5 linked regions of the Nothobranchius furzeri genome follow. The protein of the gene in region 1 interacts with the protein of each later gene in a pairwise test. Links are inferred from orthologs where the notes say so. Each region holds a gene or a part of one and is shown on either strand. Other genes may lie near its edges. The genes, in order: spry1, gemin4, creb5b, meox2a and hoxa1a.

Region 1 (4,255 bases):
CTCCTGGCTCTGTGGGGCCCAGCTCTCCAGTTTACAATAGACAGTGTTGGAGTTCTTGCAGCGACAGCCGGGTCGGTTAACCCGGTCATAGCAACCCTGGCACGCCTTCAGACAGCCCTTAACAGGTGGGTAGCATAGCAGACAAGGGAAGAGTACCGACATTAACCCCATGCACAGGAAACGAGAGCAGCAGTGGGAGCGCGACAGGGAGCAGGGGTGGTCAGCGCACGAATCGCCCTCATCGTCATTGGAGCAGTGGTAGAAGATGCCCTTAACAAGGCACATGCACGTGCCATGCTCAAGAGCACTTTCAGCAGAGCAGAGGCACTGACCATTACATGCCAAACATGATGGCAGGCTCCTGGGAGCCCTACAGTCACTGCACTTACACTTCCCGCAGCACTCACAGATGAACTGGTGTCCAGCAGCAGCCACCACTGAGTCACCCGAGCCAGAAAAGTCTGACTTTCCTTTGCCCTGGGGCTTTAGTGGAGCCTCTAGTGGAGGCTGGTGGAAGTGAAGTCCCTGTTGGGGATGTGAAAGGTTCTTGGGTTTAGGTTGAGTCCGAACAGGCCGGTCTGCCCTGTGGTGGTGCTGTAGATTCACGCCGGGCCTGGCGGGTGGCGAGTGTGTTAGGAGTCCCTGCTCGGAGGAGGCACTGCTGTTGCTCCCCGAGCTGGCGGCACTTCCGGTGCTGGTTGAGCGGCTGAGCCCAGGTGCTCGAGGCCCACCTTGCTGTTGTGCCCCAGACACAACCACCATGCCACCCCCAAGGTGATGATGACCTGGTGGCCGACGCTCATAATTGTTGTTCACATTGACGAGGATGACCTCATGAGTCCTCTCCTGCTTGTCCTGAGGCCTGGGGGCCATGCGGGGCACAGGGGGCCTCCGAGCCACCGATGGCCCCTCCGTGTACTCGTTACTGGAGCGGATGGCCTTGATTTGTTCCAGGGACAGAATGGCTGCATGCTCAATCTCCAACCTCTGCCCTCTCTCAAGGGAAGGCTGCTGGATCACCACTAATGAACCGCCAGGGCCATGTTGACTTTGGAGCTCCATCTGGGGGGATCACCACTTCCGACATTCACCGTGGACATGCATTGGAAAACCTGTCAAGAGATGGGGAATGGAGGCAGAGGGGGAGAAGGGGAAGACGGAAGAGACATGTCAATTTTGATTCAGTTTGGAAGCAGCCAGGGAGAAAAAGTTGACCATTAACAAGACCTTTTGTACCTTTCCTTCCCAGTACGCACACATCTAAACTTCAGTAGGCCCTACAAATACTTCCCATCCTCATTTACATTTGTATGACTAGTTAACATTTAAATGCTGCGCGGCAACGAAATGAGGACACGATCCAAGGGAGCTAAATGAGTTGCCTCACTTAGTATTCTGTCACAAGCTCGAAAAGAAGTGCAGGAAAAAACGAGGACCGGAGCACAGCTCAGAAAAATATTAGGGTCAGATCAAGATCTGACAAAAGACAGGCTGAGTTTTAAAACAACAGAATGTCGCACTGGCGTGCAATAATAAAGAAAATGCGCATTTTTTGGGAAGTCGCTGTGTCGCAACGTTCGCTGTTTACACTTAAATACGGTCAGGAACTCCAGTTTAAGCCTTCGGGGATGTTCTGAAGCAAAGTCAACCTGCAGGAGGCCAAAAGCTACACGACCGGGAAAAAAGCCCGAGGTTTGCTGCCCATTTTCTGCGTCAGATTGGCGCACCACACGTGAGACTATCCGCACAGATCACATTTAGCAGAAGTAGTGCGGGAATACAAGCCAGAGCCTATAAAACCGGAGACCAGGATTCGTTGGAGGAGGCTTCCAAACAGACAGGGGAACTTATGAATGAAAACAACCGCCGTGGGGGAGGGGTGTTTATTACAGCGCAGCCACGGAGCTACACGGGCATGGAAATCCGTCAACTAATCACCACGAATCCAACCCGCTGGCGGGCGTTTTGTTCCAAATACCCCAAAAAACATCGAAAAATGACGCGGAAAGCCGTAAAACTCAGTGCGCAACGCAACTGTGTCACCAATACGATGGGTTCCAGCTCGCTCCGTGCGCTTTTATCAGAAAACGACAGCGGGAAAAGAAAGATAAAATAGATGCTTACCTATATGCAAGCACCCATATCGCGGAATCCATCAACCAACCAGGTTACCAAAAGTCCATCCGAAATAGGAAGGTGCAATGTCCAAATGCAGGCTAGGAGGTGTAATGCATAACATTTAGTCTGTTATTCCAAACCCGAGCGTATTCCTTTTGAGGTATTCCCTTATTCTAGGTGTTTGAAAAATAGTTCATTGCCGATCAAGCGTGCATGTGTCCCAGGATGAAACGGTGTAAATCCACGGAGGAAAGAGGAGTCACCAGAGGAGCTGCTGCGTACTCCGGAGGCCGACCCCAGAACGAGTCGCGCCGCTTCAACAAGTCCTGGAGAAACTGTCAGGAAATTTTAAACCACCGGGAAAGTGTGCGTTTATATCCATACGTTTGCACCTCCTTATTGGGAAAACCGCGTTCGCCTTCTGGTCTTGTTGCGGGGAATCTGCGCTCTTCATGTGCGGCGAAGAAGTTAAAAAGTGCGTCCTTTAGGTTAGTCGGCGGTGCGCTCCCTCCAGCTCTGCGGGCCTGCTCAGCACTGAATGAATGGGAACGCAGCACTCACTGTTTGCTCGACTAACCAACTCCCATTGGCCATTCACTCGCCTGAAAAAGGATACATCGCATCCGCTCCTGATTCATTGGGCAGATGTGGAAGCATGGCCGATAGAGATATGCGCACTTGTTAAGGTGGAACGGCTTTCCACTTTGCGACGGTGCGAGGAGGGGGGCTTGTTTCCGCTCTTGTGAGTTATGGTGATCTGAAGAGGGTTATTGGGACTAATATTAATATAATAAACTCATGCATCTATGGATGGTCTGCTGCTATCAGTGCAGAAACCTAACCTGTTTTGAGTTCTTTTTTCAGACTAATTTAAATAAAAAAACATGGAAGTAGTTAAATTTCCATATAAACAACTAGTAAAAATATGACTTTCCAGTAAAACAAGTTTTGAACGAGTTTTTTTTGGCGTGCGTTTTTTCTGAGAATAGTTTTAAATACTCAGAATTAAAGCTCAAATAAGTCAAATTAGACTTGACAAATCATCACAGCTGTATTGTATTCGATAATAACCGCTGGATTAAAAACAACACAATTTGGATTATGTTTGTGCAGGGTCAAATTTGAGGAGAGCTGTTCTGAGGTGTCAGCTTGGTGCAGCAGGCCAAGAGTCGATTCTCAAGAAAAGTTTTGAACTGAAAAATACAAATTTAAGTTACTCCAAACTGATTTTTTAAGAATGAATGATAATCTGGAAAAGTTTATCAGCTTTACCAATCAAAATTTGATCAAACCTGTGGATTAAAAATGCATTTAAAATGCCAATAATAATAAAAACACTGATAATAGGAAACCGGTTTAAAAACAATATGTAAAAACAAAAAGTATGTACAAAAAGATTAATTACATTCATATCCATTTAAGTCATTTTAGGATCCATGACATAACCATTGCCACCACAAAGTTTCATGATAGATTTATTAAATCCGAAGCAAACGCGAGGTCCTGTTTTTGAACCCTGTTTTGGACAGCTCAGTCTGAAGACGTGTGTGGGGAGGAAACATCAACAGGATGTCTTCTGTCCTCTGTGGAATGTTCCCATTACGCCTGTGTGTGTAGCATCTGAGAAAATAAAATATGTGGTGGTAGCCAGATTGCGCGGATGTGAGTCTGACATGGAAGTTACGCATCACTGTATGCTGTCATGTGCGTCACTTTTGCAGAGGTTAGTTTCGGACCACCTTAACAAAAAAAGCAGCCCTGCAGCCAGGGGGAAAAAACTCTCCCCCTCCTCCCCCGCCCACACTCCTGCTTCAAACCTCCTCCTCCTCCTCTGTTCCTGACTGTCTGGTTTGATTGGTGTCGCGGATGCGCCACATCCGGATCCATGAGAAAGGAAGCTCAATACAAAGTCAATTTATCCCATTCAAATGGAAAAATCAATAGTGAATGACCCCCGGGACCATTTCGGGTCAGTAAATGCGCAAAAAAAAAAAAAAAAAAAAAAAAAAAAAAAGAGAACCAAATAGACTTTGAGGCGAGTGCAAACGTGAAGCAGAAAGGAGTGAACCAAGAATCCCGCCTCTTGGCGATGAAACAAATCCTGCGACAGATGGCCGCCAGGATCCCCGCTCGTGGT
Region 2 (4,208 bases), on another chromosome or scaffold:
GCTCAGCACCGACTCCAGCAGCTCCTTGGTGTCCATGGAGCTCAGGTGGTCGCTGTCCTCCGACGACCGCTCCCAGCACCTAACAGAGATCAGATGAGTAGAAGCCCAACAACAACCGCTGCACACACACACACACACGGGATCATACACACATGAGAGTCTGGTTGTACTGCTGGGCCAGAATATAGAGGAGGGGGAAGGGAGAGCAGTCCAACACCCAGTGAGGGGAGGGGGCTACTTCCTGGACACCCACAGCCAAAGCAGCGTGGAGGAGCTGCAGACTCAGTTCTGCATCGCAGGACTCTTCAGCTGCAGAAACACAGATGGGACAGCAGCAGAATGTGACGAGCGTTTACAGATCACACACAGATGAGATTAAAGCCAGCATGGACCCCGACCTGCAGCTGAGAGGCGAGGCAGGACCAGTGTGTTGACCACCTCCTGTGGAGACAAGAACCTCTGTGTCTCTTGCTCTCCCTGGAGCGTCGGGCCCGGCGCCATGAGCAGAGACAGGAACTTGAGGAGCTGCTCCTTTTCACAGGCGGACAGTGGCTTGCCTCTGACCGCCGTCTGTAAACACCTACAGAACAGACTACCACGCCCTCCAGCTTCCTGCTGCTCCACATCGTTTCCGTTTGCCTCATCCTCCCCTCCCCTCCGTCCGCGGAGTCCAGGCAGCTGCTGCAGGATCTTTGCCATGAGGCTGAAGGCTCCCCTGTTGAAAACGGCGGCGTGGCAGCAGGACCTTAAAGCCGCCTCTGGGCTCTGAAAGGCCACTCGAGCTACCAGAGAGGCTGCTGTGGTCAGGCGGCCCTGGGACACTGCTGCTGAGGCCCCGCCCCCTCCCTGGATAAGGCAGTTAAAGGCCATGTTCAGCTCTTGCTCAAAGCCGTCTGCCACAGCCGAGGGGACAGAGCAGCCAAAGAAGCCCCTGCTGGAGCGGCTCGGTACTGCAGCGAGGACCTTGTTCTGGTTTTCTAACGAAAGAGCAGAGAAGACATCTGCAGCCGTTTTAATGGCTCTCCTGCACCAGGTGGTGTTCACGTTCCCACGCTGCAGGCGACTCACGAGGGTGGAGGAGAGGCTGATGAGGGTGTTGGGCTGCGTGAAGGCCGTGTGGTTCTTCTCCAGGCAGTCCACCCACAGCTCTTCATGAGTCCAGGACAACTGGCTGGCAAACAGCGCAGCAAACTCCTCACAGTCCTCCAGGCGGTGACTGATGACGGTGGCAGCGACCTGAGCCTGCACCTGAGGGGGGGTCTCTACGGCAGGAAGAGACAGTGAACTCAGCAGACCTCTGAGTGTGCTCTTCTCAGTCACATGCTCAGATGTTCCCGTTTCTTCTAGAGCTGCCAGGACTCTCTGGACGCTCTGCTGCAGCAGGAACGCGGAGCAGCCAGGAGCGCTCAGGAGATCCTGTTCCAGCCAGAATTCTGTGAGTTCTGCTACGATCTTCAAAGCTTGGCTCAGCGTCATCCTGCTGGGCTGAAAAGGAGCTGGTGAGTGAGCAGCACGCAGGTCTCTCAGAGCCTCCTGAAGGAGTTTGGGGCTCCACGCCTGCGTCTGTCCTCTGGTGTCAACAAGCCTACAGAGGATGAGCAACTTCTCTTCAACTGGAAGCACAACCTCTGGGTCTGTTAGGAAGGATGTGTAAAGAGCGTCGAGGCAGACTAACAGGGACTGCAGGCACAAATCTGTAGTAGATACTTGATCTTTCATGTTCTTAAGAGCATGGAGGAGAACGTGCAGAACGTCTGTGTTTGCTGACGATGCAGGAAGGTCCAGCTTTAAGCGTTTTGCAGCCTGAGGCGAGACACTGGGACAATCGGAGGACAGGCGTGCAAACTGGCTGACAAACATCATCTCTAAGTCTTTGTCTTCCTGCGTCTGACATTTGTCTCTGCCTTTCCACAGCTCCCACCACACCTCCAACAGAAAGCAGACGTCTTCAGGACTGGGATCCGTCCTCAGATGCTCTGCCAGCGTTTGCAGCTCGGTGCAGATCTGCTGCTGAGGCAGACGCAGGAGCAAGCGGGCAAAGACCGGCGCAGCTGAGAGTGACTTCACCAGCTCCAGCAGAACAGCCCGGCTTACGTCAGGGAGGCCGTTCTGGAGGCAGAAGAAAGGGTTGTCCCTCCACCCCTTCTCCACATCTTCCTCAGCCTCACTGCTCATCAGCTTCAACCACACCACACAAACAACCTTCTTCTGCCAGGCCAGAGCGCTCAGCCCACAGGTGTCTCTGAGGGCCTGCAGGATCGGGAGCTTCACACGACTCCAGTCCGCCTTCTGCATCAGGGACAGGGATGAGGGGAGGCACAGTTTGTCTGCCTGGAGGAAAGCTCCCTGGAGCACGGCGGAATCTGAAAAACAGGCAAGCAACAGGCTGAGACCCGAGCTGGGCCGAGATCAGCGTTATCCAGGTGTGTGTGTGTGTGTGTGTGTGTGTGTGTGTGTGTGTGTGTGTGTGCGTGTGTGTGTGTGTGTGTGTGTGTGTGTGTGTGTGTGTGTGTGTGTGTGTGAAGGGGGGGCAGGCTGCAGGTGAAGCAGGTCCAGAACGAACGACTGGCTAGGAGAGGGCTCTTCAAACCTGCAGCTTGCTGCTTCAGCCTGAGCGTTTAGCGCCATGTTCGTCTCTACCGACTGGAGACGAAGCTCGCGCAAGTTCACGAGACATGTCTAACATTAATAATTACCTTTGTCCATGGCTGCGGAGGCAGGAACATACACCCGCCCGCCTCGTGAACCAGTTCGTTACCAGGAAAGGCGCTTCCGGTTTCCAGCAGGAAGCCGGGCTGCTGTCAGGTGGCGAGGCGTCCCCACAGCGCCACCCCTGGATAGATACGGTACTGCAGCCGCATTAACCCAGCAAACCGCCAAACCTGCTTCACCTTGTTGTTATTGTTGTTGTTGTTGTTGTTTTCCTCGCCTTTTCTGTTGGATTGTTGACTGGTTTGTTTTTACTGTTGCGAGGTTTTGCGTTGTTGACTAGACACCGCGTTCACCAGTGCTGCCGCCAGACCGGAACACCGGTTCAGCCCTACGTGTGATGGTTTAAACGTTACTCGCTTTTAGTGACATTTAAAAGTGTTTTGCAGTATTTCTCCTTGTGAAACTGTCTCTGCTCGTCACGTGATGCAGCTGCATGCAAAGCAGGTTTTTTTTCGTTGTAAATGAAAGCGAAAGTGTTCTGAGAATAAATGTGCAGCTGAATGAAGCAGGAACAAGGATCAGTAGATCTGATGAATAACCATGGTTCCACCCTGCAGGATTCTTATTTACGGTTTTATCTGGACAGGTAAGTCTTCAGAAGGCTTGTATCCCTGCGAGTGTGGGGACAGTTTGTGTTTTTGGAGGAAGCCCACTCGGATCAGCTGCTTTGAGTTGTTGGTCTGTCTCCAGGGGTCTACTGTAGCCAGCAGATACTATGGCTGCCCTGTCACTTCACAGATGAACAGGTGATTATGAACAATGAAGGACATAGAGAGACCCAGCGGATCCCCAGAAATGCTGTGCTGCAGTTTGGTCAGACAGGAGAAGCTCCTGTAGATCTACGCACCATCACTTTTCAGGTCACAGGTAAGCCACCTGACACAGGTCACCATTACACACCTGACAACGGTTGCACCTTACTCTTCTGTGTTCTGCTGCAGGGTCCAAGGTGGACATGCGGCACTATGTGGAGGGAGTGGAGGCAGAACAGCTGGAGTGTGAGCTGCGTAGATACAGCACACAGGGCATCTATGTCCACTGGCCCAGTCAGAAGGCCAGGGAGTACAACCACTGGTTCTCCGTCTCTCTCAAACACAACCAGGGCCTTTTCACTGTGCTCGGCTTCCTCAGACACCCGTCTGACCAGCCTCCACCAGGAAAGCAGGACTACCTCAGCTGGGTTCCCATCACTGATGGACAGATGCTCACTACATCAGGTCAGTTAGTTTCACTCCATAATGCCAACAGCTCCAGTTCTGGTTCTTTGATGGTGTTTCTCTGTGTTCTGTCTTTGTCCATCTGGTCTCACAGTTGCCATGGTAATGAAAACAGAAACACCACTGGTGAAAACCAGCCTGAGATCTGAACAAAAGCTCCACTGCCAGTTTAGTGTGGACCACCGGGGAGCAAACACCACTGTGGAGTGGCACTGGCAACGCCGCGGGGAGAGGACCCGACTGTTCAGCCACACCGGACGCTCCAGGCAGGGATCAGGT
Region 3 (3,511 bases), on another chromosome or scaffold:
CTGCATCGGCTACTTGAGCGCGTCTGCATCCGCTACGTGAGCGCGTCTGTATCCGCTATGTGAGTGCGTCTGCATCGGCTACGTGAGCGCGTCTGCATCCGCTACGTGAGTGCGTCTGCATCCGCTACGTGAGCGCGTCTGCATCCGCTACGTGAGCGCGTCTGCATCGGCTATGTGAGTGTGTCTGCATCCGCTATGTGAGTGAGTCTGCATCCGCTATGTGAGTGCGTCTGCATCCGCTATGTGAGCGCGTCTGCATCGGCTATGTGAGCGTGTCTGCATCCGCTATGTGAGCGTGTCTGCATCCGCTACGTGAGCGTGTCTGCATCCACTACGTGAGTGCGTCTGCATCCGCTATGTGAGCGCGTCTGCATCCGCTATGTGAGCGTGTCTGCATCCGCTATGTGAGTGTGTCTGCATCCGCTACGTGAGCGCGTCTGTATCCGCTACGTGAGCGCGTCTGCATCCGCTATGTGAGTGCGTCTGCATCGGCTACGTGAGCGCGTCTGCATCGGCTATGTGAGTGCGTCTGCATCCGCTATGTGAGTGCGTCTGCATCGGCTATGTGAGCGCGTCTGCATCGGCTACGTGAGCGCGTCTGTATCGGCTACTTGAGCGCGTCTGTATCCGCTATGTGAGCGCGTCTGCATCGGCTACGTGAGCGCGTCTGTATCCGCTACGTGAGTGCGTCTGCATCCGCTATGTGAGCGCGTCTGCATCGGCTACTTGAGCGCGTCTGCATCCGCTACGTGAGCGCGTCTGTATCCGCTATGTGAGTGCGTCTGCATCGGCTACGTGAGCGCGTCTGCATCCGCTACGTGAGTGCGTCTGCATCCGCTACGTGAGCGCGTCTGCATCCGCTACGTGAGCGCGTCTGCATCGGCTATGTCAGTGCGTCTGCATCCGCTATGTGAGTGAGTCTGCATCCGCTATGTGAGTGCGTCTGCATCCGCTATGTGAGCGCGTCTGCATCGGCTATGTGAGCGTGTCTGCATCCGCTATGTGAGCGTGTCTGCATCCGCTACGTGAGCGTGTCTGCATCCACTACGTGAGTGCGTCTGCATCCGCTATGTGAGCGCGTCTGCATCCGCTATGTGAGCGTGTCTGCATCCACTACGTGAGTGCGTCTGCATCCGCTAAGTGAGCGCGTCTGCATCCGCTATGTGAGCGCGTCTGCATCCGCTATGTGAGCGTGTCTGCATCCGCTATGTGAGTGTGTCTGCATCCGCTACGTGAGGGCGTCTGCATCCGCTATGTGAGTGCGTCTGCATCGGCTATGTGAGCGCGTCTGCATCCGCTATGTGAGCGTGTCTGCATCCGCTATGTGAGCGTGTCTGCATCCGCTATGTGAGCGCGTCTGCATCGGCTATGTGAGTGCGTCTGCATCCGCTATGTGAGGGCGTCTGCATCCGCTATGTGAGCGTGTCTGCATCCGCTATGTGAGTGTGTCTGCATCCGCTATGTGAGCGTGTCTGCATCCGCTATGTGAGTGTGTCTGCATCCGCTATGTGAGCGCGTCTGCATCCGCTATGTGAGCGCGTCTGCATCCGCTATGTGAGCGCGTCTGCATCGGCTATGTGAGTGCGTCTGCATCCGCTATGTGAGTGTGTCTGCATCGGCTACGTGAGCGCGTCTGCATCCGCTACATGAGCGCGTCTGCATCAGCTATGTGAGTGCTTCTGCATCGGCTATGTGAGCGCGTCTGCATCGGCTATGTGAGCGCGTCTGCATCGGCTACGTGAGCGCGTCTGCATCGGCTATGTGAGCGCGTCTGCATCGGCTATGTGAGCGAGTCTGCATCGGCTATGTGAGCGCGTCTGCATCGGCTATGTGAGCGCGTCTGCATCGGCTATGTAAGCGCTTCTGCATCGGCTATGTGAGCGCGTCTGCATCGGCTATGTGAGCGCGTCTGCATCGGCTATGTGAGTGCATCTGCCTCCGCTGAAGTTTGCACCGTTGGTATGCAATGACTGGAAGTGAGCTGAAGGCTACGCACCATATGATTTACATTACTGTAAACAGCTTGCCATAAAGGTGTCTAATGACAGACAAGAATGTGTGTGCATGCGTCACCTTGGCACACATCTGCGAGCAAAGCTGCTGGACTCTAACAGTGTTGATGCTGTCATAACTCACCTGATAACATGTTGTCATTCTTTATGCTGGGGAATTTAAGGGTCATCTCATGTTTGTGTCGATGGATCATCAGATGGTCTTCCGTGGGGAACCGCTGTTCGGTTTGGAAGAAGAAGAGGTGTGTGAGTATTATTTACACTAACGAGAAGAAACTGTCTAAAAGTCTTGAGGTACATCCCTGCTTTAGCTTCGGAAGAATCAGAATTTCTAGTAATAAATCTGGACTTTTGCTGTTAGTTTCAGCTATTTTCAGTCCAGTGCCTGAAAACGAACTGATCTGTTTTTCTGTTACTTGTTTAAGCCACTTGATCCTGACAGTGAATCGTTCAAGCGTGGGAAGCTAAACTCAAGGCATGAGCCACTGTTGCATCAACACTAAACAAGCAACTAGACAAAAATACAGTTTTAAATTAGATCAGTCTGTCACAAAGACTTCACTTGTTCCAATTTTTCTGTTGAATTTATTAAAAAAAGGTAGCGACACAGGGCCAAGACCAGGATGGTGCATTTCTCACGTCCTGGATCAACTTTTTGATTGATTTCTTTTCTCCATTTATTAAAAATACAACTTTCAGATCGTTCATCTGCTGCAGACAGTTTATTTTAGATCTAAACTTATTTTGTCCTCCATCCTTAGTGTCATGATCAAACCTAAGAACTGGACAGAAAACTAGTAAAATAACCGTCAAAGTCTATAAAAATCTTTCCAAAAACCTGGAGAACTATTGATCAAGAACACTACCAAATATTACAAGAAAGTCTGGCTGCTTGGTGGTTTCGGGCTTTGGTTTGTACCCACACTGACCTGAGAACAGCCGGGAGCGTTACACACAAACAGCCTTTCCTGGTCTGAGTTCATCCCTCTGGCCAGAGTCTCATAAAACTAGAGAAAACATAAAAAAGAAAATATGAACTGTTGTTTCCTTGAAACAGTAACTTTGAAAAAGCTTGAAAAAGTATATTTCAAATGCATTTTTACATAAAATATACGAAGTTTTGCTAAAGCATAACATGTATTCTCAATAGATTGTATAAGAACAAATATACAGTAAGAAGTACTAATCCTGTTTCGTTTAGCTAATTTAAATTAAGTCATAAATGTTTTCTCAAGAATGAACACGCTGCTCTGCACTGATCTACAATCACCAGCGAAGATGCAAATTTCTGATGCATCAAACCAGCGAAATGATTAAAGGTTTTGCTGATTTAGTTGCTAGAGTTGTGTTGAGGAACGTTCTGTAAGGTAAGCAGTGGACAGTTAGTTAAGAGTTAAATTCATTTTCAATATATAAACACAACTTTTAATCCAAATGTCCTTACAGCTCTAAACACATTTAGCTTGGTTCTTAGATCCTCTTAGATAGAAAACATACCC
Region 4 (4,305 bases), on another chromosome or scaffold:
TAGTGCCAGCGAGAAGACTCTGGCACCTCACGCTTGCACTTTTTATAACAACACCTCATCCAAAAAAGCATCTTTTATTGTTTCTGTCAGAAAACTCTGAACTTTTTAAAGGACGACCACTCCCTCCGCAGCACTATCAACTCAGCAAAGACACCCTTTCCTCACAAGACCCACAAAAAACCCCAAACCCAAGCAGAAACCAGACTCCCTGACTCAGCTCATTAACTGAGCCTGCAGCCTGGCATCAGGAAACAGTCACAACCTGGTAGCAAAAGCAGAAAACTGATCCATATTGGAGGAGAAAGGAGGTAAAAACTGAACATGGAAATAAGTTCTCAGGTTTTGTTTTTATTTCTGTTGCTAAATTCAGGTTTCCTTCGAGCTCCTGGTCCAGATGCTGGAATCCAAGCCAGGCTCTATCTCATGCAGAAGGCAGCGAGCGGTCTGATATTTAGACAGCTGACTGAGTCAGCAGTGTCGTTAGCCTCCATAATCAGTATGATTGGTGTTGCTGTGGCGAGAATGCATAGCTCATCTGACGCAGCAGCAAAGGCAGGATTTCGGTTTTCCGGGGATTTCAAACGGAGAGAAGAAAAATTTTTTAAGCAGCGCATTGATGAAATATGCGATTGCAACATTTTCCATTTGGATAACTGGACGTTTAACTCGGAACAACTAAATAAATTAGGCTTCGTCATTTTGTTTTTATTGTGTTGCAATGATTTTTCCAATTTTCTTCCAATTCCATCACATCTGGACTGACTGTGAATTATAAATCAAATTATTTCCAGTCGTGTTTCGGGGCGGGGCTAATAAACCCAACAAAGGCTTATTCTAAAATAAAATTTACAAACATTTATTTATAAACTGTTGGAATCAAAATTATAATCCCATATGAGAAAATCTGAGATGTGACAACAGAGGCCTTTAAAAGGATGCAAGATCGGCGCTGAAGCTCTGCCATCCACAAAAGGACTGAGGGAACGGCGAGCACACGTTTCCTTGAAACTCTCAGCGATATCAGCTTCCCTGCCAGGACTCCCGTGACCTAAACCCAGACGTTTGTCAGGCAGTGATTGATTATTTCGGTGGGTGTCTGCAGGTCATCCAGCAGGTGATCTCAGTCGGTACACATTTAGTCAAATCTGCTTTTGTGGTATTTGTGTGATTCTTTGGTTCAGCTTGATTCAAACGTAATTTAGGGTTAGGGTTTTGAGGGGACACGGGCTAAAGTTGTTAAATTAAACTCAAAAGCAGCGCTACAAAGCAGATCATTTTTTAAGTTAAACTATATTTGTTGGTAAATTAGTAAAACATTTGATCACTGTTTTAATTATTAAAATAATAACATGCTGTTTGAGATTTTTCTTTCCAGTGTGCTCATTTATTTAAAAGTTTGCCTTCTTAGATCATCGTGACTCCTTATGTTTCCCGCTTCGTTCCAGTGATTTATTTTCACCACAAGATTCAGAAAGAAGAAAAGACCTGACATGTTTGCCTCAGTGAGGCGTTAAGTGCAGCACGAGGCGCCGGTGTTGCCTTTTACAATCCATGACATCAATTCTTAACTGTGCACCTTGTTTTCTGCCCTCTGAAGAGCGTCGCAACAAACCAGATGTTAGTTTTACACAAAGCGTGCCAGCAGTCAGATGTGCCCGTGCAGTCGCAGCGTGGCCTTTGCTCAGCGCCGCCGTACGCCTGCAGCGTCGCTGCGTGTCAGCCGACGCCTACAAACTGATTTTTGGTTTTTCTATCACAGCTGTGGATTTCCCAGAATCCCGCCAACTTGTACAGATGTTTGTGGTCATTTTTAAAAATGCTGATTCACTTTTAGTCTGCGTGTGGGCGGTCTTGTGAAATAATAGAATTAAACTCCCTCTCTAGGATCATCTCATCTCTTCTTACCTGAACTGTCACTTTTCCTCTTGTTGCTCCTCTTCTCAGCCTCGGCAGGTGACAGAGTCTGTCTGCCAAAGTCTGAGGGTACGCAGGAGGCCCCCGTGGGGGTACTGTCATTGCCCAGCGTCGGGGTGCTGGCGCACATACTGGGTGCCCCGGGGTGGCCCAGGTCCGGAGGTGTGGGAACATTCTCGTGGGACGAGAGGGAATGCGGGTGGCAGAGGCCGTGACGCACACTGCCGCCGCCAGGTGACGGCATCTGTGGGATGTGCCAAGATGCGTGATGCTGAGGTTGTTGGTGATGCTGCTGGGAAGGCAGGTGACTCCGGTGGTGGTGGTGGTGGTGGTGGTGGGTAAACAGGCCATCATCAGTCGAGTAGCTGGAGATGACACAGGGCGAAGGGGAAGATGTGGAGGAGGAGGAGGATGAAGAGGCCAGGTCGGGGTAGGTGATGTGATCTGAGCGTCCATGAAGAGTCAGGGGGGACTGGGTGAAGGCAGGATGCAGGGCCTGACCCGGGACATGGGGGCTCCGCAGGCATCCGAACAGCGTGTGATCCATGGGGTGAGGAGACCTCCAGTACAGGTGAGACGAGCAGGTAACGGGGATGAAGTTACTAAATCACCAGGAAACAAAGAAAGATCACACGCACATATCCAAGAGACTTTCCCAAAACCTTTTCTGTGTTCCCCTTAAAGCACAGTAATCAAAAAGTCAGCGTGGAGAGCAAAAAGTGCTCTGAGACTGGTGTCCTGTGGTAATCCAGAGCATGCGTCTGCCTGGCAGGCTGTGCAGGATAAACAGTTAGCCCAGGACAAGCTGCTGCACCTCTTCTCAGATGTCAGGAGGAACACAAGACTGAGGCTCGAGGCTGGAAGCGCAGGAGGTTCCTAGGAACTGCAGAACGAGGGGAGCCAGCAAAGGGGATGTTATAAATAGGGTGTAACGTGAGAGGGAGGCTGGGTCATAGACTGCATACGCGCTACTGACCACATATATATGATCACCCTCCTAAAAGCACAGCATAATAAATCTACACTATTAAAATGGCTGAGCCTAATTTTGGACTTGACCTGTGGTGCCCATCTTCCCTTTCTTTTTGATTTTTACGTGTTAAAAACGACGTGAATGTCTCACGGGTGTGGCTGGAAGAAGGGGATGTGGAGTCAGGGGAAGTGGAGAGATGTCAAAGGTTAACTCAGCACGTCACGGCATCGCTAAACAAATACCGCCACAGCCGGGAGCCACGGTGATGCTCTCCGGCTTCCTGTCACCTATTGAGTAATTTTTTTGTGTAAACAAATAATTCACACTTTGTTATTATTTTATTTAGCGGCTAAAATAAAGAATGAATCAACTGATACACAAATACAGATTCAAATGTGGATTTTTTTTTTTGATTACTGAACCCTGTGGACGTCACAACCCGCCTTTACGCTGTTTTACTTTTAAAAGAGAAGGTGGATCATTGTATTCCAGTAGTTTTTTAACCACATACCCATATGTGTGGGGTTTTCAATCTGGTTTAATCCAGCCCTTAAAGACGATTCATGATATTCTAATTGTTGTTGACTCTGGTGTCGGAGCTGTTTATCACAGCATCTCACAGCTGCACTCGATCCAGCAGGTCATGACTTTTTATCCCTCGTCTTGAGAACGTTCAAGGAACCTTTTTAATAAGTTAGCCTCTTATCTGAGCGAAGGATCCTTTTCTGTATACATCAGAGATTTTTCTTATAAATCAGCTTCTTTAACCTGTGGTGTCCCTCAGGGTTCTTTAGTAAGACCCCTTGCTTTTTATCCATCCAACCTCTGAAGCAGTTTTTTATGTTGATGTCACTAAATGTTTATTTACAACTCTTTTTTTTACCTTAGTAAGTATTTTATTTGCATGAATCAGGTTTGTTTTAATCCTAATAAAAGAGAAATTCTGCACATAAATTTATTTTGTGTTAATTAAGACTTGGAATTATTTTTTAAGGCCATAAAATATTTTAAGGAATATGTTTCTTTTTTATTCTTTTCAGTTTTTTATTTAATTTAATCTGTTGACAAAACAAATTTTTCTTAACCTATTTTATTTATACAATTCAAATATTTTAGTTATATGTATAGTTTTTAAAATAAATACTAGTTAGAAACATGGATTTGGGCATCAAATCCACACATGAAACTTGGTCTAATTGCTATAAATAATAATGAATTCATCAATTATATTCAAGAGTACATGAACCTAATTTAAAATTCTGCTCTAGTCTTCTTGCTCTTTGGACCATGTGGAACTCGGCTGTTCTCTGATCCAAACACGAAGCTCTTTAAGGAGGTTTTCCTGAATGTTTTATGAAACCTGCTCCACCCAATAAAAGGTATTCCAGAACATCTGATAATGAGAACACTAATCCATT
Region 5 (4,071 bases), on another chromosome or scaffold:
ACCCTGCGCTGCATACCCGCCATGACCCGGATACACCACTTTACATTTGTTTTCGTTTGCAGACTCGTGTCTGCCTTTTTTTGCTCACGTTACAGATCAAACTTATCTGAAGATACAGAGATGTTCTTGCAGACACATTGCACAATTTAAACCTAAAGCTCCAGGGTGATCCAAAAGCTCCCGGATGGAGGACTAACTTTAATAAATGTTCACACAATGTCATTCACGAACAAAGACTCTGGTTTTGATACATTTAAACGTTGGTATTTACAGGCCCGTGTGGCCCAGATAGGCTGCTCAGGTAGAGGTGTACGTGTCCGTGCCAGTGGAGGACACCGTGGATGAGCTGGGAGAGGGCGTGGACGGCGCTGAGACGGACCTCTCAGAAGCGGCATCGTCTAATTTCTCTTGATTTATTTCTTCCGGGTGCGATGACTGGACCTTAGCCGGCAGCATCCCCTCTTTCTCGCGCTTTTTCTGCTTCATCCTCCGATTCTGAAACCAAATCTTCACCTGAGTCTCATTCAGCTGCAGCGCAGCAGCAATCTCCACTCGGCGCGCCCGGGTCAGGTATTTGTTGAAGTGGAATTCTTTTTCCAGCTCTGTCAGCTGCTTGGTGGTGAAGTTGGTCCGGACGATGTTTGGCTGGCCCGCATAGCCGTACTCGCCGGAGCGACCTGGGGACAGGAAGAGGGATTCAAGTTTATTTTCTCACCCAAAGGACGCACAAACTGTGCGATTATCCAAAAGAACCAACTTTTACGCAGCAGGCAAAGAAAACCTAATTATTTTACATATAAAACACACTCTATAGTTAAAGACAAATGTCTTTAAACCAACTTTTAAAAGAAAGGGGCGCACGCTTGAAGTGGAAACATGGACATTTAATGCGTTTGCGCGTCAACGCGCTCGCAGTGTCAACATCTCCTGTGTGGATTCCAGTCTGCTTGACCGATTAAAACCAATTAAAACCAATAATAGCAACAGACTAGATTCCCACCTATCTCCCTCGTGCTGGTACAGCTCTGCACCCACCTGTTTTCGGTGGATTTCTTTTGACTTTCATCCAGTCGAAAGTCTGCGCAGAAGATGCGCTCTCTGACAGAGGTGAGCAGCAAGCTTCCAGGTGAGCTGCATGCAGAGGTGACAGCGGGTTGGAGGCCCCAGGATAAGAAGGTGCCTGTTCATGACCCCCGCCATAAGCAGCATACTGCAGCTGGCCCAAGGTGGCAGCACTGTAGCCATGGCGATGCTGAGACACCATGGAGGAAGAGATGTTACCTGAAAACATCAAAGGGCTGCACTGGGGGAATGCAGGTGCAGAGTCTACTTCCTGGTTGAGTGTGTAGTGGTTGTACGTGGCGCAGAAACTTTGGGGCCCATAGTTAGAGCCACAGGCCGGGTGGGCCCCATAGGAGAGACCCATAGAGGTGGCAGTAGGCTGGTAAGAGGCCGGCTGGTGAGGGATGCTGTCAGGGGAAGTCCTGTTTGCCATGAAGTGCTCATCCGCCCCGCAGCTGCTGATTGCAGCCCCGCAGGACTGGAAAGTTGTAATCCCGTGGTCCGAGTGGAAAGCCCTGATCGAACATGAGCCACCCTCACCGCTCATCACCGAGTAATCTAGGAAGCTGCTCATTGTAGCATCGTTAGTCTGGGACCAGGAGACTGTCCTCTCCCCCTCTGATCTCTCCACACTCTCACCCTAAAGTGACCGTGCCAACCTTTACCTTTCTGTCCCTATCAGTGCAGGGAGGGGGGTGCTGGGGATATCAATGAACGGGCACTGTCACGTGGGCACGGGTCAGCCAGTGAGGGTCCTTGTCCCTTTAGCCGGTGACAGATTGGTGTTTGAGGGGCTATTTAAATTCCAGGCGCTCGTCGATCAAGGTGACGCGCGTCGCCACTAATGTATTGGCCGAGCAAACAATGGGCTGGGAGGCAGACGGAGGTGGACAGCTCCGGGACACACGAGGAGCTGCTGAGACGGTGAACCCGGTGTCTTTTAACCCCCCTGCTGCGCAATCTCACACTGAGGAGAGATGTCATCCAAGGTGGACCGCTCTGCACTCTGACCTCAGGTATTTTTAGAACAGAGAAGTGTGAGTCTGTGTGCGTGCGCGCGTGTGTTGGCGTCTCCGTGCGTATAAGCCCTGGTGTCGCATGTGTCATTCTGTCCAGGAAGGATGGATGGCTGAGAGTGCGCGCGCTCGCTGCAGCCGCGGGCTATCTTTAGGCTATTAATGTCCCATTCCGATGTGAAATGTTTCACGCTGGAACATTAAGGGATTTTCTGGGCAAATATTGTTACAATGTGATGGAGAGGACGTGTTTCCCCTGTTAAATACATCCATCCCATCGCACCAAGCCACCTTCCAGCAGAATTTCGTTTCCTCTTAAGGTCGCAGCAGGAGCAGGTTTGTGCATTTCACGTTACGAGGAGAGATGATCCGGTCATATATTCATAAAACACCGCAAAAGGATGCGCAAAAAGCTCAAATTACGTTTAAAATGTGCCTGAAGTAGCGCACAAACGTGATTAGGAGACAAAACCATTAAGGTGATGTGATATTAATGTTTTGTTCCGTTCTCGGGTCATAGGTCAGCCATCTACCAGAGTTCCAGTCCCGCATGTATTCATTATGCATGTATGGTGATCAAATGATATAATAATGCGAAGCCTGCTAATGCGCATATGTAGCCCGAGGTGCGAGTGGGCTGATTATCCTGTTAAGTTCATCAAATAAAGCTGCTGGGAAAACGAATGGTCACGGGAGGCGCGAGAGCGGAGGGGAGTGAGGGGGTTGTAGCAGATGCCCAACCTCTAACCGAGGAAGGAATAGAGGAGAGGGAGGGAGGGAGGGCGAAGGGAAGGATCAGATGGAGGGATGAGCGCCCCCTCAGGCTGAAGATAGACATGCACTTAAATAAACGTGCTTCTGTTATTAAGTAGATTAATTCAGCTCAGAAAAGCGTGATTCAGATTTTACACTCTATTTATTTTTCCTACAAACGTCTAAGTTGTCTCACTGGTACTCAAACAAGCAGTATCAGTAAAATATTAGCAACATTCAAATGTGCAGCTTTTTTCCATTAGTCAAATGTAGTTCTACTTTGTCTTAAATGTAATGTTTTAGGATGTTAGAAAAACAAAATTAGATGTGAAAATGTTCAAAGACTTGTTGCAAACTACATAGCAGAGGGAGGGAGAGAGAGAGAGAGAGAGAGAGAGAGAGAGAGAGAGAGAGAGAGAGAGAGAGAGAGAGAGAGAGAGAGAGAGAGAGAGAGAGAGAGAGAGAGAGAGAGAGAGAGAGAGAGAGAGAGACGAACTGGTTTCCATTCCACCCCCACCCCTCTCCAGCAGCTGCCTCTGTAGTGAGTGGGCGCGGAGGATCCATCGCGTCTCTGCTGCTTGAGGCCAGCCGGGCCCCGCGGAGATTCCGCGGCTCTTTGTGTGGCCGCGGGGGCGCAGAAAAGGCGCGCTGTCTCGGAATGATTTGGTTATGCAGGCCCGTAGTGCAGGAGAGCAGCATCTGCCCCCTGCTTCCTCCTACCACCCCCTCATCTGAACACACGCGCGCGCGCGCGCACACACACACACCCACACACGCACACAGCCAAAGTTAGAGCTGATTTTCTGCTTTCGGCTAAGTTTGACACGTTTTGAAAAATCACTGCAGCTTTCATCTCAACTGGTGTTTTTTAGTGATTCTGAGTTAAACTGGATTATTGAGTTCCCATAAATCCAATCAAAGCTGCGCAAGAGTGCTAAAATGTTCATAATCCCTTTATTGAAGTGAGGGGTTTGAAACGCACACAAACCAGTCTTGTCTTTAAATAAAAAAAATCACAGATTCCACCAGTGTGAGTGGAGAAGCGACGCTAAATAAGAGCAGCTTTAACCTGAGCTGCTGCTGCTGCTGTCTCCGAGTCAGAGCCGCGTGTTAAACAAGCCATAAAAATGAATTATTACCAAACGCACGCAGAGAGCTCGGCCCCTTTTAGCTTAGGAATCGGGGAGTCCCGCATGAAAACGTAAGTGGGGTTTTTATTTGTGCACATTACGCCACAATT

What was found.
Region 2: the proteins of spry1 (region 1) and gemin4 interact in binary tests that used the Homo sapiens proteins (3 or more experiments, as listed by UniProt). The link is inferred for Nothobranchius furzeri from reciprocal best matches to the Homo sapiens genes SPRY1 and GEMIN4.
Region 3: the proteins of spry1 (region 1) and creb5b interact in binary tests that used the Homo sapiens proteins (3 or more experiments, as listed by UniProt). The two-hybrid records come from large-scale screens. The link is inferred for Nothobranchius furzeri from reciprocal best matches to the Homo sapiens genes SPRY1 and CREB5.
Region 4: the proteins of spry1 (region 1) and meox2a interact in binary tests that used the Homo sapiens proteins (3 or more experiments, as listed by UniProt). The two-hybrid records come from large-scale screens. The link is inferred for Nothobranchius furzeri from reciprocal best matches to the Homo sapiens genes SPRY1 and MEOX2.
Region 5: the proteins of spry1 (region 1) and hoxa1a interact in binary tests that used the Homo sapiens proteins (3 or more experiments, as listed by UniProt). The two-hybrid records come from large-scale screens. The link is inferred for Nothobranchius furzeri from reciprocal best matches to the Homo sapiens genes SPRY1 and HOXA1.

What each region holds. Positions count from the first base shown.
Region 1 is NC_091741.1:72,820,593-72,824,847, forward strand, and holds the start of spry1 (protein sprouty homolog 1), read right to left. Parts: upstream 2,802-4,255; 5' UTR 2,125-2,801; intron 2,089-2,124; exon of another isoform or gene 1,237-2,088; intron 1,113-1,236; 5' UTR 1,063-1,112; coding exon 1-1,062. UniProt on the Homo sapiens protein: Inhibits fibroblast growth factor (FGF)-induced retinal lens fiber differentiation, probably by inhibiting FGF-mediated phosphorylation of ERK1/2. Inhibits TGFB-induced epithelial-to-mesenchymal transition in lens epithelial cells.
Region 2 is NC_091753.1:62,515,953-62,520,160, reverse strand, and holds the start of gemin4 (gem-associated protein 4), read right to left. Parts: upstream 2,803-4,208; 5' UTR 2,707-2,802; coding exon 2,697-2,706; intron 2,364-2,696; coding exon 399-2,363; intron 310-398; coding exon 153-309; intron 80-152; coding exon 1-79. Other genes in the region: dhrs13b.2 (tapasin-related protein), read left to right, coding at 3,253-3,298, 3,403-3,579, 3,654-3,929, 4,024-4,208. UniProt on the Homo sapiens protein: The SMN complex catalyzes the assembly of small nuclear ribonucleoproteins (snRNPs), the building blocks of the spliceosome, and thereby plays an important role in the splicing of cellular pre-mRNAs.
Region 3 is NC_091745.1:35,742,123-35,745,633, reverse strand, and holds part of creb5b (cyclic AMP-responsive element-binding protein 5), read right to left. Parts: intron 3,020-3,511; coding exon 2,942-3,019; intron 2,231-2,941; coding exon 2,137-2,230; intron 1-2,136. UniProt on the Homo sapiens protein: Binds to the cAMP response element and activates transcription.
Region 4 is NC_091745.1:64,691,385-64,695,689, forward strand, and holds the start of meox2a (homeobox protein MOX-2), read right to left. Parts: upstream 2,801-4,305; 5' UTR 2,462-2,800; coding exon 1,906-2,461; intron 1-1,905. UniProt on the Homo sapiens protein: Mesodermal transcription factor that plays a key role in somitogenesis and somitogenesis and limb muscle differentiation. Required during limb development for normal appendicular muscle formation and for the normal regulation of myogenic genes.
Region 5 is NC_091751.1:29,552,112-29,556,182, forward strand, and holds the start of hoxa1a (homeobox protein Hox-A1a), read right to left. Parts: upstream 2,805-4,071; 5' UTR 1,637-2,804; coding exon 1,036-1,636; intron 678-1,035; coding exon 298-677; 3' UTR 1-297. UniProt on the Homo sapiens protein: Sequence-specific transcription factor. Regulates multiple developmental processes including brainstem, inner and outer ear, abducens nerve and cardiovascular development and morphogenesis as well as cognition and behavior.